Linked DNA regions of Macaca fascicularis. The protein of the gene in region 1 purifies or fractionates together with the protein of each later gene. This does not show direct contact. Links are inferred from orthologs where the notes say so. Each region holds a gene or a part of one and is shown in the gene's direction. Other genes may lie near its edges.

The links.
Region 2: the proteins of UPF1 (region 1) and MAGOH purify together in Homo sapiens (affinity purification with western blotting; 3 studies listed by BioGRID and IntAct, with this or other methods). This does not show direct contact. The link is inferred for Macaca fascicularis from reciprocal best matches to the Homo sapiens genes UPF1 and MAGOH.

What each region holds. Positions count from the first base shown.
Region 1 is NC_088393.1:19,255,503-19,259,145, forward strand, and holds part of UPF1 (regulator of nonsense transcripts 1), read left to right. Parts: intron 1-258; coding exon 259-439; intron 440-1,978; coding exon 1,979-2,140; intron 2,141-2,784; coding exon 2,785-2,902; intron 2,903-3,050; coding exon 3,051-3,149; intron 3,150-3,643. UniProt on the Homo sapiens protein: RNA-dependent helicase required for nonsense-mediated decay (NMD) of aberrant mRNAs containing premature stop codons and modulates the expression level of normal mRNAs.
Region 2 is NC_088375.1:181,434,312-181,438,446, forward strand, and holds the start of MAGOH (protein mago nashi homolog), read left to right. Parts: upstream 1-1,243; 5' UTR 1,244-1,313; coding exon 1,314-1,401; intron 1,402-4,135. UniProt on the Homo sapiens protein: Required for pre-mRNA splicing as component of the spliceosome. Plays a redundant role with MAGOHB as core component of the exon junction complex (EJC) and in the nonsense-mediated decay (NMD) pathway.

The sequences.
Region 1 (3,643 bases):
GTGTAACTCTTTTGGGGCGTTCTGGCTAAATCATGAAAACAATTCTGTAAAAACAAAGTCTGTTCTGAGTTTTAAGAGTTCAGAGCTCAAGTGCACGAGGAGATGCGATTTATTACTAACAGTTTAAAGGTAATGTGATCACATAATAAAACTCAGGGCACGCCCCTTTGGGTGAAAGGTCAGCATGGGAGGGGGCCCTCCCTGCTCCAGGACTTCAGAGAGGGGAGCTGGTCCTCACGGTCCCCTCCCACTCCGCAGGCAGCCCTGTGCCAGCCAGAGCAGCCTCAAGGACATCAACTGGGACAGCTCGCAGTGGCAGCCACTGATCCAGGACCGCTGCTTCCTGTCCTGGCTGGTCAAGATCCCCTCCGAGCAGGAGCAGCTGCGGGCGCGCCAGATCACGGCACAGCAGATCAACAAGCTGGAGGAGCTATGGAAGGTGGGGCTGCCCAGCAGGCTGACCCGTGCCTTCGTGTGGTTTCTGGTTGCGGGGAGGGGAGTATCTTCAGAGACGGCTTGACCCAGTGAGACCGCTGGAGATTTTCTGGAAGGAACTCAGGCCTCTGCCACCTCTATGTAGAGTGACCCCAGGGCAGGGCACCTTGGTCACCTTCCATCCAGGCAGCCTTACCTGACCAAGAAGAGCCTGACCTTGGGGAAAGGAAAGCTCTGGCTGCTGGAATTTTTCTTGTCTGATGGGGGGTGGTAGGGGAAGGATGGGGCTGGTTGTAGGTAGACTTGTCTGGCAGAGCCTGGACCTGCACAGACAGGTGCACTGCGAGAGTGTCCTGGGGAAAGAGGTTGGGGTCGAGGTTGGCACAGTCAGCTGAGCAGAGGGGAGAGGAGAGGGTGCTGGGTCAAGTAGTGGGTGCCTGGCCTCCCTCAACAGACAGCCCTCACTTTTCCCCACGGAAGCCTTTCTCTGGTTCCGGCTGTTTAGGATTTTGTGATAAAGTCATTCTAGTAACTAGACTAGAAGCTTCCATTTGCCTCCCATTCAATCAGAAATCTCACATAGGAACTGAAGTACAAGTTAAAATGTTTTTTAAGCCGGGCGTGGTGGCTCACGCCTGTAATCCCAGCACTTTGGGAGGCTAAGGTGGGCGGATCACGAGGTCAGGAGATCGAGACCATCCTGGCTAACATGGTGAAACCCCATCTCTACTAAAAATACAAAAAATTAGCAGGGCGTGGTGGTGGGCGCCTGTAGTCCCAGCTACTCGGAGGCTGAGGCAGGAGAATGGCGTGAACCCGGGAGGCGGAGCTTGCAGTGAGCCAAGATCGCGCCATTGCACTCCAGCCTGGGCGACGAAGCAAGACTCCGTCTCAAAAAAAAAAAGTATTTTTTAAGCATTGTTCAGCCGAGTACCTTTCCACTTGGATTTTCAGTTTGCCAGATGATTTTCATGATTCCCGTTTATATCTGAACAGTCCAGATAATGTCCTGTCCCCACCAGCATGGCACTCACTGAGGGAGCTGGCCCCCAGGGGAAGAGCTGCGGGCCCATGTTGGTTCTGGCTTAGGGTTAGCAGACGTGGGAGACGGGCTTCCCGGGCTGTGGACACAGTGAGAGAAACCGGTGGTCTTTGTGGCAGCCTGCGAGGAGGGTTAGCTGCTCTCGTTCACAAGCCGGGCGTGCTTGGAGGAAGCAGGCAGCTTTGAAGGTGCCCTCTGCTGTGGACAGTGTGTCAGGCTGGTGCCTGGGGCTCTGTAGGCAGGTTCACCCAAGTACCGGAACCCTGCTGGGGTGAGGAGCAGCAGCTGAGGCCCAAGCACGGGCTAGGCCGGTGTGCAGCTCCCAGTGTGGCATGGAGTTCCTGTTCCCAGGGTTTTCCTTGCAGATGCACCAGAACCCCTCCATGCCACCCACTGTGGCCCATTCTCAGAAGCGGCATGTGTGCTCCATCCCTCTGGTGCCTCTGCACCCTCGTTCGTTTGCATGTAGGGAAAAACAGGACGAGTGTTGTTGTCTTCTAGGAAAACCCTTCTGCCACGCTGGAGGACCTGGAGAAGCCGGGGGTGGACGAGGAACCGCAGCACGTCCTCCTGCGGTATGAGGACGCCTACCAGTACCAGAACATATTCGGGCCCCTGGTCAAGCTGGAGGCCGACTATGACAAGAAGCTGAAGGAGTCCCAGGTGATGTGTGCAGGAGGGCTTGGCCTGGGCTGGGCTCTGACTCTCACAGCTCTCTTCCTCAGGCTTCCAAAGGGAGGTTTTCTCTCTAGGCTGTGGGAGCTGACGTGGGCTGCAGCTGCAACACCTGAGAGTTGGAGCTTGTGGATCCAGGCCTGGCAGCCTGGTGGTCTGGGCCCCCGCCCTCAGAGCTGACATCAGCCTCAGTGTTTTCTATTTAAATCCAACACATCTTTCCCAGTGGGGTCCACAGCTTTGCCCACAGCTGCAGGAGTTAGACTCGGGCGTGATCCCTGTGAAGACCACATTTAGGCAACGGGAGCCCCGGAGTTCTGACCTCCCCTCCCTCCCTCCCCTCCTCTCTCTCTCCCTCCCTCCCGCAGCAGCTGCTCCCTGGCCACGGAGGCCTCTGGTGTGTGGTGAAGCCTCCAGACGGGATCGGCCTGTGTGTGTTCTGGGGACTCCTAATGGCTTCTCTTTCAGATATGCCCTTGGTGGCATTTGGGGCTGTCAGGTGCCGCTCACGGCGCCCGCTGTCACGGCAGAGGCTTGCTGTAGGGCCCGCCTCATGGGGCCTGGGGCATGTGGAGGCCAGGCCCGGGCATGTGCTGGAGGCTAACCGGGGCTCTTGTTTTTCATGTGCTCAGACTCAAGATAACATCACGGTCAGGTGGGACCTGGGCCTTAACAAGAAGAGAATCGCCTACTTCACTTTGCCCAAGACTGACTCTGGTAATGAGGATTTAGTCATAATTTGGTTAAGAGGTGATTTTAAGTTTTAAAATATTTGTGACCATAAGTAGCATAAAATTCCTAGTTCCACCCTTGTAAAGTGCCCCTTAATTTGAACTCTTCCTGGTGGAAGTGACGGCGCAGGTTAAAATGGCCACCTCTCTCACTTTCTTACCGCAAGACATGCGGCTCATGCAGGGGGATGAGATATGCCTGCGGTACAAAGGGGACCTTGCGCCCCTGTGGAAAGGGATCGGCCACGTCATCAAGGTCCCTGATAGTATCCTTCATGTGAAGAGGGTGGGGTTGGCTGGTGGGAGAGGAAAGTGGTGGGGCATCAGATGGAGGCCACCGTGGATTTGATGCTCGTCGCTGGGCCAGCATCTTGTGCTCTGTGGTAGTTGCTGGCTGGCACTGGCCTCCACTGCTCTTAGGAGAATTGCAGGGCCTTCACCTTCTGGGACAGCTGGTTGTATGGTTGCTTCCCCTCTGCCCGAATGGTGGTGATATTGGTGATGCTGCTTGTGTGACGCGTCCCTGGGCTGACTCTGGAGGTTAATGTGGCTGCAGGAGCGCCTTACCTGGATGCTGACTCTGCACACGGAGGTTCCAGAAGCCAGTGGTCACATGCAGACCCTGTGAGCACTCACTTGCTCCCAGGCCACGTTTGGGAATGTGCAGTAACCTCATGGTGACGTAGCCTGCAGGCCACAGTGGAGCAGCTGTAAGGCACAGGTGCAATCAGAGGCCTGGGGCGGGGAGGGGTCCTCGGAG
Region 2 (4,135 bases), on another chromosome or scaffold:
GGAGGCTAAGGCAGGAGAATCACTTGAACCCAGGAGGTGGAGGTTGCGGTGAACTGAGAACCAGCCGTTGCACTCTAGCCTGGGCAACAAGAGCAAAACTCTGTCTCAAAAAAAAAAAAAAAGACTGGGGGTAGGAATCAGAGACTGCTGTCCCGACTTACAGAATCTTATACTGTTCTAGTTGCCAGGCCCCAAGAATGATGTCATCTCAGCACTGTCTCTAGAACCATTCATTCTCTCTAAGTGTGGAACTTAGACGAGTGAGAGCAGGCTCCTATTAAATAATTATGATCTTGATTGCTCTGGCCCTACTCAACTGTAAATTTTTTCCAGAGCCAGAATGGCTTCACAGAGGACAACTTTGCTCTGAAAAGAGTCTCTTTGGTCAGTGGTCCTCAACTGAGAGCTTTACAAAGAGTACCAATGCCCAGTTCCAGCGCTGGAGATTTTAATTGGCTTGGGGTAGAGCCCTGGCATCAGTATTTTTAGAGGCTCCCCAGGTAATTCCAATGTGCAGCCAGGCTGAGAATCACTGCTCGGTAAGTGGGATGACTGGGGAGTGGGAGATCAAATACTCTAACTTCTCACAGCACCTATTCTAGAGATCAGTGGGGCAGAAAGATAGAAATAAAAGGTGGAAAAGGACGAAATGGGTAAGTGTGGGTGAACTAGTTCCAGGGAAACGGCAATCTCCACTGTGGATTCAGGGAAGGCGTCACTGAGGAGGGCTTTCTTAACAGTTCAGGTCAACGGAAGCCATCTTGAGGCACACACATCGTGCGCGGCATCCTCCGGGAAGGTCGGGTCATTTCACCCCATTTTACTGCCGAGATGACCTAGGTCCAGAGACGGTAAAGAGCGGTGTACGACTCACACAAGTCGGGGGTCCTGTGAACTGAGGTTGAGCCTGGCGGGGGCAAGGCTCGGGGTGTTCGGTCCGAGATCTTTAAGCGAAGTCACCAGACCCCGCGTTCAAAGCCCAGAGGTAGGCAGGCGGCTGGCTCTCGGCCTCAGGCCGGGAGAGAACCCAGCGGGTACCAACCTCAACCTCGCTCCCGCGTCCAAGTGGAGAAGCGGAGCTGGTTGGCCCCGCCTCCGGGTTAAACAAAGTTCGTTACCTCCTAGGCGTGAGAGGGTGTGGCAGTCTTGTTGTCACTTCCGGGCGAATAGGTTAGCTAGAAGGAACCCCTCCATTACGCGACGGCGTAATCTGACGTCACTTCCGCGCGCCGCCGCAAACGTCAGTGTCGGGCGCAGACCGCAGCAGTGCGGCTTGCTGTTGGAAGTTCAGGCTCGGTTGTCTTTTGGGAGCCATGGAGAGTGACTTTTATCTGCGTTACTACGTGGGGCACAAGGGCAAATTCGGCCACGAGTTCCTGGAGTTTGAGTTCCGACCGGATGGTAAAAGCAGCCTGCCGCCCGCCCGGAGCGGGACCAGGCCTTGGGGCGGGCGAGTGGGGAGGCCGAGGGTCGGAAATCTGTGGGGAACTAGAGGAGGAAGGGGCTGAGACCTGTGCAGTGCGGATCTGAAAGGAGCGCCACTGTGTCTGCTCCACGGCGTCGTTTTATCCATACAACAAACGTTGGCTGAACGCCCACTGTGTGCCAGGCTCTGTTCCACTCTTTGGGGATACGACAGCGAAGATAGACAAACTTCCTCTCTCGTGGAACTTGTGTTTTACTGCTGGGAGAGAGATCATAAAAAGATGATTCCGGATAGCAGTGAGTGGTCAGAAAATATGGTAGAATCGCTGGATGGGCTGCTTTTAGATAGGTTGGCCATTAGAGAGCTCTAATGGTATATTGCAGCTGAGCCCTAATTAGCAAGAAGGACCCAGCCTTGTGAAGCTCACAAGGAAGACCATTCTACCCAAAGGGAATACCAGAAGTCAAGGCTGCAGGGCGGGAATGAGCTTAGGCATGTCTCAGGTGGTCAGTGTGATTGAAGAGTGGTGAGCTGGGAGATGGCAGGAGATGATGTCGGATAGGTAGTAGGAGCCGCACCTTGTAGATCTTTATAGACCAGGGTAAAGAGTTTGGACTTGGAAGGCTTTTTTAATTTTATTTATTTTTTTTTTTGAGACGGGTTTCGCTCTTTTTGCCCAGGCTGTAATGCTATGGCGCGATTTCGGATCATTGCAACCTCCGCCTCCCGAGTTAAAGCGATTCTCCTGCCTCAGCCTCCCGAGTAGCTGGTATTACAGACACCCACCACCACGCCCGGCTAATTTTGTATTTTTAGTAGAGACAGGGTTTCACCAGGTTGGCCAGGCTGGTCTCGAACTTCTGACCTCGGGCGATCCGCCGGCCTCGGTGTCCCAAAGTGCTGCGATTACAGGCGTGAGCCACCGCGCCTGGCCGGGCTTGGAAGGTTTTAAGCAGAGAAGAAATGTGATCTGTTCTTGAAAAAGCATTCTGGTTATTGGGTGCGGAATGGGCAACAGTGAAAACAGGGCTATTGATTAGGAGACTGTTGTCAAGACAAGAAAGATGTTGGGGGCCAGTCGCAGTGGCTCACGCCTGTAATCCCAGGACTTTGGGAGGCCGAGGTGTGCGGATAACTTGAGGTTAGGAGTTCGAGACCAGCCTGGCCAACATGGTGAAACCCCGCCTCTACTAAAAATACAAAAATTAGCCGGACGTGGTGGCAGATGCCTGTAATCCCAGCTGTTCGGGAGGCTGAGACAGGATAATCGCTTGAACCTGGGGCGGAGGTTGCAGTGAGCTGAGATAGTGCCAGTGTACTCCAGTCTGGGTGACAGAGCGAGACTGTGTCACAAAAAAAAAAAAAAAAAAGATGTCGGTTGGGACTACAGAGATAGTAGAAATGGAGAGAAAGATTTAGGAAACTGTTGGAGGCAGAATCAACTGGACTTTGATCGTTGATAGGATTTTTTTGGCGGAGGCACTGTGGTGAAGGAAAGAGGAATCAAAGATGACAGAAAACATCCATTAAGCGGGCCACAAAGATGTATCTGACAGGCCCCGACTGTGAGGGAGATGGATTTGTAAGCAGGGACCAAACAGCGTATTAGGTGTTGTGGTAAAAAGAAACAGAGGAGACTTGCAGCAGAGAAGGGGCACCTAGCCAAGCCTGAGGGTCAGAGGAGGCTTCCTACATAAAATGATGGGAGGAGGGGATGTGAGGTATTGATTAGGAGACCAAGAAGAGTCAAGAAGGCATTTTAGACAGCATGCAAAGAGGCTGAAAACCAAAAAGTGCTTGGGATGTTTCAGGCAGAAACCAAGTTGTTCGACTCCAGCTGTGTGAGAGAAGAATATTGCAGGAGTGAGGCTGGAAAAGCAGGCAGGGGCTTTGCTTAGCCGTATGCCATGTTGAGGAGTTTGGATTTTTTTTTTTTTTTTTTGAGATGGAGTCTTGCTCAGTTGCCCAGGCTGGAGTGCAGTGGCGCGATCTGGGTTCACTACAAGCTCCGCCTCCCGGGTTCACGCTATTCTCCTGCCTCAGCCTCCTAGGTAGCTGGGACTACAGGCGCCCGCCACCACGCCTGGCTAATTTTTTACATTTTTAGTAGAGACGGGGTTTCACCGTGTTAGCCAGGATGGTCTCGATCTCCTGACCTCGTGATCTGCCCGCCTCGGCCTCCCAAAGTGCTGGGATTACAGGCGTGAGCCACCGCGCCCGGCCGGATTTTAACCAGGAAGGCAGCGGAAAGCCATTGACTTTATCAAAGTATTAGAGTAACCTAATCTGATAGATCTGTTACCACATCACCTTGTCCACTATATGGACAGTGAACTGAATGTGAAGAAACTTGAGGCAGAGAGACAGCACAGAGACTGTTGGAATAAATTCACTGGGCTCATCTCACATGTATGTCTTCTAGTCTACATGTCTTCTGTTTCCTTCTATCTTCTCCTCATCCCCACCATGTATTCACATTAACCTGTTAGACGCACACATGGACAAAGGGTCTTGTGTACCAAATGTGCTCAGTGATAAAAGCAACAACTTTTCCATCACAGAAATAGAGTGTGGCACAGTCACATGATAATATATGTAAACAGCATCCTACAGTTTTCAAAATGTTTTCACAACTCATTTGAGCCTCAGGAGGTCCTATGTGCTGGTAAGTTATCATTTACTCTGCCTGTTTTCAGGACATTCACCTGC